Tribolium castaneum: one gene and its partner. The protein of the gene in region 2 binds, or shares a complex with, the protein of the main gene of each other region. Links are inferred from orthologs where the notes say so. Each region holds a gene or a part of one and is shown on either strand. Other genes may lie near its edges.

Region 1 (3,075 bases), on a different chromosome or scaffold from region 2:
ATCATATTTGTAAGAAAAGATGTGATATTTGATGACTGCAAACGTTTAGATGCCAGTTAGGTGTACATAGGGGACTTGGTGGTAGTTATTTTTGTTTCAAGCGTTTTCTGATTGTGTTCAAGTCACTTCTCGATTGGGTTTAGATGTTGCGGTCATAAATACCACTTCCAATAAGAGATTTGATATTTTCAATATACTTGAAAATATTTAAGTCGGTGTACATACATGTAACATGCAATATTTCTATATATTTTGTATATATTCTAAATTTTAGACTGTAGAAGAGTATTTATTAATTTTTTATTGTGTGATCGACTATACAGATAAGAAATATTGCATTCCAAGAGCTGAGTGATTGTGACCGTTTACGCCAATAGGATTTCTTTCCAACACGTTCCCAAACGTAACATTTCCCGTTTTTTTCTCAAGTGGTCTAGTGCTGAACACAATTGATGAACTAGTCATAGTTAAATTATTATACCTAGAAAGAGTGAATGTTTTTGTAATTTTTGTGTGTAAAAACAAAGTGCATTTTATATTGTAAATAAACATAGTGTTTTGTACATATGACTTTAACCTTAACTATCAATATTTACAATAAATAAACTATTTCAGATCTTTATTTGCGTTTTTTATTTCTTTTAGTCATATCTGGATGTCTTTATATCAATAAAGAGCAACGCAAGAATTTAGTTCAAATTAAGTTCAGTTCTATTGTGCAAGAAAAACTAATTTCTTTCAAACACATTACCCAAGCCATACCTAAGACTATAAAATTCTATAAATAATTTGAAATATGTACTTGTAATCATTAACTTTTGTTTTACGTGCAGCATTAAAAAGTTATAAACCAACGAATGGATGGAAACACTTAATTGTAAATGTCGTAACATAAATGACCTCGCCACATGAAAAAAACATGGTGTGAATCACTTTACATGAGTTTAGCATTTGGCTTAGCCGTGCTATAATAATCCTTCGCAATTAACTGAAGTGTTAATTAAATTAGCTAATTCATCTTAACGTCTGTTTGTGTAAGCACTTGGCACATCTGCAGAATCAATTCTATTGAATTTCGCCTTTTACTGCGAGCAGTTTTGTGTTTTTTTGCAGCCCTAACATTTTTTTAATAAATAATACTCATTTTTTAATTTGTTGATCGATAAAAATAAAGGTTTCAGTGTTTTTCAAATTGGAGAACTGCACCCTATATTTAGTTTAGCATCCGGTTGGAGAGATGACGCTTGAAGGGTTGTTTTCTGTTTATCCAAACCCAGTGAAAGAACTCAACTGTAGGGTTGTTTAATAATTAATAAGCTTGAAATAAAATCTTCAATTCAAAAAGAGTATTGTTGGTTGCGGGTTCGCGTTACAGTTTCCTGTCGTGACAGCTGTGAGTGTTGGGATCGCATTTAGAGGTCACTGAAGTATAAATATTGAAGTTTTCACGTTGTCATCAAATGCGATTTTCATTCGACATTCACTGTTTTTCTTGAGGAAAATCCGTAAGTGAGGGTGAACATGGCAGGAGTTTTGACTGAAACGGTGGAACCCAGCGACCTAAAGGTGAGCGCCTTCGGAACCGCACCAAGTGCGCCATTCGCTCTGTCAACTTATCAATGAGTCATAATTGTTAATAAACACAAGGATAATTGCAGAAATTCGAGAAAATTTACCACGAACAGCTGTACAAAAACGACGTAACGCCTAAAGCTCAGTTCGAATACGCTTGGTGTTTGGTCAGGAGCAAGTATCCTGCCGACATACAGAAAGGGATAATTCTGCTGGAGGACTTGTACAAGACACACGAAGAGGGCCAACGGGACTATCTGTATTATTTAGCAATTGGGACGGCGAGGTTGAAGGAGTACACCAAAGCTCTCAATTATGTTAGGTCATTTTTGTTAATTGAGCCAGGTTTGCACTTTGGAATGTTTATGTAAGGTTTGGAACTTGGCTGTTTTAGGTAATCAGCAAGTCATTAGTTTACAACAAACGATTAAGAAGAAAATGGAAAAAGAGGGCTTGGTGGGAATGGCTATGGCTGGGGGGGTTGTTCTTGCTGTGGGTGCCATAGTTGGCGTGGGAATGGCTATAGCTAGCAAAGTTAAGTCTTAGTGCTTCCCACATATCAAATGTGATAGTGTTACCATTTTTACTTGTACCAAATTGTATTTTTTGTGTTTGTTTCGTGATTACATGAGTCTGTGTTATCACTTGTTTTATTAATTGGCATTTAATTTTTGGTTCAAACTTGGATAAATTAAATGTAACACTCGAAAAGGCACACGCTATTTTTATAAGGACTTTTTCATTTCAAATTATTTGTGTATTTGTGTAATTTAAAACAAGAAGTCAATAGGTGAAGAATGTATATTTTGCTCATTACTTCTTGTGTAGACTGTCACCATTATGCAAGCTGTGAATAGGTTGTCATTGATTTTTTAAGTTTAGTTTAATTTCTTAGTCATAAATCACTGTATATTGCTAAATAAATAATAAAGTTTTATCTAAATATTGTGTTTTTCTAAAGAAAATCTAAAATATGCTGAAATTATCTTCACCACAATACACTTGTATATTTGGTTGCATAGCTGTCAAACCAAGCTTTGCATTGATTTGAAATATCTATACAAACACTTTTTATTACCATTTTGATCTTAAATCTGAATTGACCAAATGTCTATTTTTTTCATTTACAATCCTATGGTATACTTGCGTTTACTTACACCAATTATTTCGAATTCATCGTAACTTTTTACCTTATGGAGAACAGAAAAGGAAAAAACAGCTTCAACAAACTATTTGAGAAAAAAATTGTAACAAAAAATCGACCAATAAATCACCATGTTAAGTATGTAAGTACTCGTATACAGTTTAGAGCTAAAATATCCAAAACTATAATTTTTAAAAATTATTTTTTTCATGAGAAAAGTCGGAAATATGTCTCCTGTAAAATATGGATATTTTTCACTACAGCTATGTCACTAATTTATCTGAGTCAGTAGCCTGGATTTTTTAAATTTTTGAGATTTTTTGGCCACAAGGACAAGCACATTTTTAAACAACCTATAT
Region 2 (4,422 bases):
TTTTTAATAAGATTGATAAAATTATAAAATAGTTACTAATAGTAAAATTGAAAGTATAAATTACATTATTATTTTGAAGTACATAAATAATTTATATTAGCTAATTTTAAGAGAAAATGCGACGTTGGCGTTTTTATACGGACTATTTATAAAAGAGTGTAGGATCTCAGGTGGTTCTGGAATTTGAATTTGCCGCATTTAATTAATTTATTTCTATGAAATTTCAGAAAATACCAAATTTTATGTACTCAGGCAATCAGTAAAACCAAATTTTTCATATACTAACAATGTTTGTTTTTTTTAAAGGAAACGGCAAACTTTTAATACCTACTACGATCATTTATAGACAGATTGTAGTTTTGAAACAACTAATACTTCGTTTAATATTTAGAAAAAAAGTTTATTTTTTATTGAGATATGTCACATAGCAATAATTTCATTTTACCAAACTTAAAAATGATAGAACGGCAGAAAAATATTCATGTATAAAAATATTCAAAATTTTGCTGAATTAATAAAAAGCATTAGAAAACACCTTGTACCCAAACTTTGTATGAAAATGAATTCATGAAGGAATGTTTTATGTGTACTTCTTTTTTCTTTATTTGCGCAGTTGTTTTTTTACAGATGATATCATTTTGTAAGTTATTTTCAGCTCGGACCCCGAACAATCTGGGGGCCACTGAAAAGTTTATTATGCTACAATCTTATAATTAATTATTATGTAATTATTTTTTGAACACACCGTTGAAAACATGATTTGCTTGGACGTATTCATTTTTGTGCTGAAGTGGTCCAACAAAAAACAGGGCAAAAAGGTGAATTTTAAGCGTTTTTAAAAGGTGAATTTTTTTGGATTGAATCATTTTAATTTTAACTTTTAACAAAGGTACCTTGAAAAACGGGATAGATTTGATTAAAAAAAGTGTATACTGAACAAAATGTTCGGAAGGAGCCCTACTAGTGTATCGTATATCCCATTTCAGTTCATAGTAGAATTTTGCAACAACATATTTGCATTTTTTGGAGTGAAATGGCCAATTTCTTGGCTCAAAATTTGTTGCTGGGATTTAGTTGAACACAGAATTTTTTCTTATAAAGAAAGAAACTCTCGATTTTGTGCTTTTTTCACCCCAAAAAATCAAATGCCCTGGTGAAACATTCTACAATAGAAAATAGGATATAATAGTAAGTGGCTAACATCACATTTTTTACCAAAATTTAAATAACTTACACTTGAGCGCCTGCCGTGCGACGCATTAAACGTATGCCTCCTATTTTCCCCCTCGAAATCCTGTCTGCTCCTCTTGAACGGTTCACTTTTCCGGTCATCTTCTTTCCTCAAATTGCCACCCGAGCGTCTAAAGTTCGAGTTTGAAAATTCTCTTGTGTTCCTCTTCCTCGACTCAAAATCTCCTTTTTCGGACTCATCCCTTGGTTTTGAGGAGCTTTTGGAGGTGTCAGCCCCTGTCTGAGGCTTGTTGAATTTTTTGCGCCCCATTTTGAAACAATTATCTTTACTACGTGTAAATCACACAACTGCCACGCCACAACTGATACGGCGATAAAAGTGATGCGAATGCAGAACAGGGGGAAGCCCCCGACTGCGTTGTGAAACGCAATTTCGCGCAAATCCCTGTTTTACCGGCACGTTCGGTCGGTAACGCAATAGAATTGAATTCGCGTGATAAAAGCGAAAATTGCGTAATCGTGACCTCTTCACGCGTTTATTTATAAGTGGGTGAGTCAGATTTGAGTTTATTTACCTATCTTTTGCACCAATCACGAATCACGGTCTGTTTTTAGCTGAGGAAAGCCACATCAGACAAGAGTCCACCCAACTGTCAAAACTATAAAAGTTAACCTCAAACGTTTCAAGTTTCGATTATCAGTGAAATGAGTCTGCAGTGGACGCTAATCGCCGGGTTTCTCTACGTGGAGATCGCTATCGTGCTTCTATTGGTGCTGCCAGTGGCTAGTCCCAAGCGATGGAACGCCTTTTTCAAGTCAAGGTTTCTGCAAGGGTTGCAGAGACAGGCGGGGATGTATTTTATGATCCTGTTGGCGATTCTTGTCCTGTTCCTGCTTGACGCCATCAGGGAAATGCGCAAATATTCGCAAACAGGTGATTATTAATTTTTTATGAGTGTTTCTAGAATTCACATTTCTAGAATCCGAAGAACAACACAGTCATTTGGACCGCGAAATGCAGGGGAGTATGCGGCTGTTTAGGGCGCAAAGGAACTTCTACATCTCCGGATTTGCCTTGTTTTTGTCACTGGTGAGTAAAATGCAATCAACTCAAGTACTGATGATTGCACAATAAAATTAGAAACGCGCTAAGACCACAGGGCAAGGTCCAACTTCCAGGAATGTAATCGTGACTCAGAGCGATTAGACGCTGTCTAAAAATTTGTATAAAGCTAAATTATGCCAAGGACAAATTTTTACGGGGCAGTGAAATTTTGTGTTTGTATTTATGACTTTCAGGTGGAAATGCTAATAATTTCTCATAAACAGGTAGAATTCTTTTGTGTTTACAAATTTCACCATAAAGTCAAGGGTTTGGGTTAATGGTTTCTGGGAAAGGGATTAACTGTTGGGGGTATGGTCACTAAGCTGTGAAAGTAGTCTTCTCAAATTAGTTTTGTGTTTACTTTTGGATTAGTTTTGGTGTCTAGTAATTACAGCCCATTTTGTTTATTTAATAATTTCCAACTTTCAAGTTTATATTTATAAAGAAAAAATAATATTGCACATTAATTTATAAATGGATTTACATTTTATTTGTGTTTATTTAGATTTTACATTATTGGAAGATGACTGAGTTAAAAAAAAAGATTTATGTTGGTTTTCTTGAGGGAGGTTACTCTACAAAAAAACATATACATCTATTAAAATATTGTTATTACTATTACATATTTTCAAGTGGCATAATATCTCTTATCTAAGCCTAAAATGATTTTTTCCTGCTTTGTGTTATCCAACACCATTTAACTACTTGATAAAACATAAGTAATTTTTCCATTCTAGTTTCATTTCTAATTTTTTCGTGCTGTTAGAGTTTATGAATTTTTTAACATTTTCTCGCAGCGTATTTTGGATAATAAGAATTGGTTAATAAGAATTGCTCTTACGAAATTTTTGTAGTTCTTGCTTGTATTTCAAATATTAATTTGGGTTTATTCAAAATTTATTTGACAAATAACTAACGACCACCGAACGACTCAGGAGGAAAGTCAAAAATTGGTGTTTTTGGATGTCATCATCGCTAAATTGCGAATATTTTAACGAAGGATTTCAAAAATCGAGTCCCTGGTGATCTTATAATTTAAAAATCGAGTATTTCGCCAAAGCTATTTTTTTATTGCTCATTAGTTAGGTAACACAATTCAATTTTTAATAAATATTTAAATATTAAATGAGAACTAAGTTATTATACAGAGTGTTTTATTACTGATGATTTTGTTCTAAATTTGTGTTGGTCGATTTTTATTAATTGATTTTTGAAAAATTTAATTATTTTTTAATAATCGCAAGTTTTTTAAAAACATGTATTATTGCTCAAAATCTAAGATTCCTGGAAAAGAGAGATTTTTACCACTTTAAACAAAAATGTTCAAACTATAGGGCTATATTTTTTTTAGCTCATGGCAACCAAGAAAAAAAAATTAAGACACGCTCCCCATAGCAACGTGTTTTAAATTAAAATGTTCTAACAAAAAAATCTTGTATAACATTTACGAAAACGCTTAGAGTTCTAGGGTGTCTAGGTATAAAACTCGCATACGCTCGTTGCATAACCACAACCCTCGAACTTTAAGCTTGTGTTTTCTTTAAAAAATTAAATTATTTCTAAAATTAAGCAAAATCGACTAAAACATTAGTGCTAAAAACTACTTCCAAAAATACAAACAAAAAATAGTTTGTACTGTATCTAATTTCAAAAACAGGCGAGTAAAAAAAGATTAATTTTCTCTAACATTTAAAAGTTAATAATGGACTGTATGTTCCAATAACTATAGAAAAAATACGGTATACACCTTTTTTCTTAATTTTTTTAGGTGATTCGTCGTTTGGTGATCCTGATTTCATCCCAAGCCGCCTTGTTGGCTCAATCTGAGGCTTCAATGCGTCAGGCCCAAAGTGCGACAACAGCTGCTAAGAGTTTATTGGCTCAAAGGGGCGAAATTGCCCAAAATGACACCAACGAAGCCCACGATAAAGAGGTAATGACCGCATTTTTGTCAAAAAAAACATGCTCATGTGTTTCACTAGATTTCCGAATTGAAGAAGAAGATCAAAGATTTGGAAGAAGAGCTCGCAACTGAAGTAAGAGATAAAAACGCAATGAAGAAACAATCAGATAATTTGGCCAAAGAGTATGACCGTCTTGCTGAAGAACACAGCAAATTACAGAAG

The links.
Region 1: the proteins of B-cell receptor-associated protein 31 (region 2) and Fis1 are in contact, whole or in part, in a crystal structure (PDB 8XWX), measured with the Homo sapiens proteins. The link is inferred for Tribolium castaneum from reciprocal best matches to the Homo sapiens genes BCAP31 and FIS1. Residues at the interface, in NP_001132913.1 of Homo sapiens: Asp224, Leu227, Glu228, Ala231, Lys232, Ala235; in NP_057152.2 of Homo sapiens: Arg52, Val56, Glu59, Glu60, Pro63, Lys64, Lys89.

What each region holds. Positions count from the first base shown.
Region 1 is NC_087398.1:2,702,445-2,705,519, reverse strand, and holds Fis1 (mitochondrial fission 1 protein), read left to right. Parts: upstream 1-1,392; 5' UTR 1,393-1,521; coding exon 1,522-1,566; intron 1,567-1,658; coding exon 1,659-1,917; intron 1,918-1,966; coding exon 1,967-2,118; 3' UTR 2,119-2,515; downstream 2,516-3,075. UniProt on the Homo sapiens protein: Involved in the fragmentation of the mitochondrial network and its perinuclear clustering. Plays a minor role in the recruitment and association of the fission mediator dynamin-related protein 1 (DNM1L) to the mitochondrial surface and mitochondrial fission.
Region 2 is NC_087394.1:25,805,109-25,809,530, forward strand, and holds the start of B-cell receptor-associated protein 31, read left to right. Parts: upstream 1-1,611; 5' UTR 1,612-1,741; intron 1,742-1,806; 5' UTR 1,807-1,896; coding exon 1,897-2,125; intron 2,126-2,171; coding exon 2,172-2,281; intron 2,282-4,064; coding exon 4,065-4,229; intron 4,230-4,278; coding exon 4,279-4,422. Other genes in the region: uncharacterized protein LOC661444, read right to left, coding at 1,235-1,501. UniProt on the Homo sapiens protein: Functions as a chaperone protein. Is one of the most abundant endoplasmic reticulum (ER) proteins.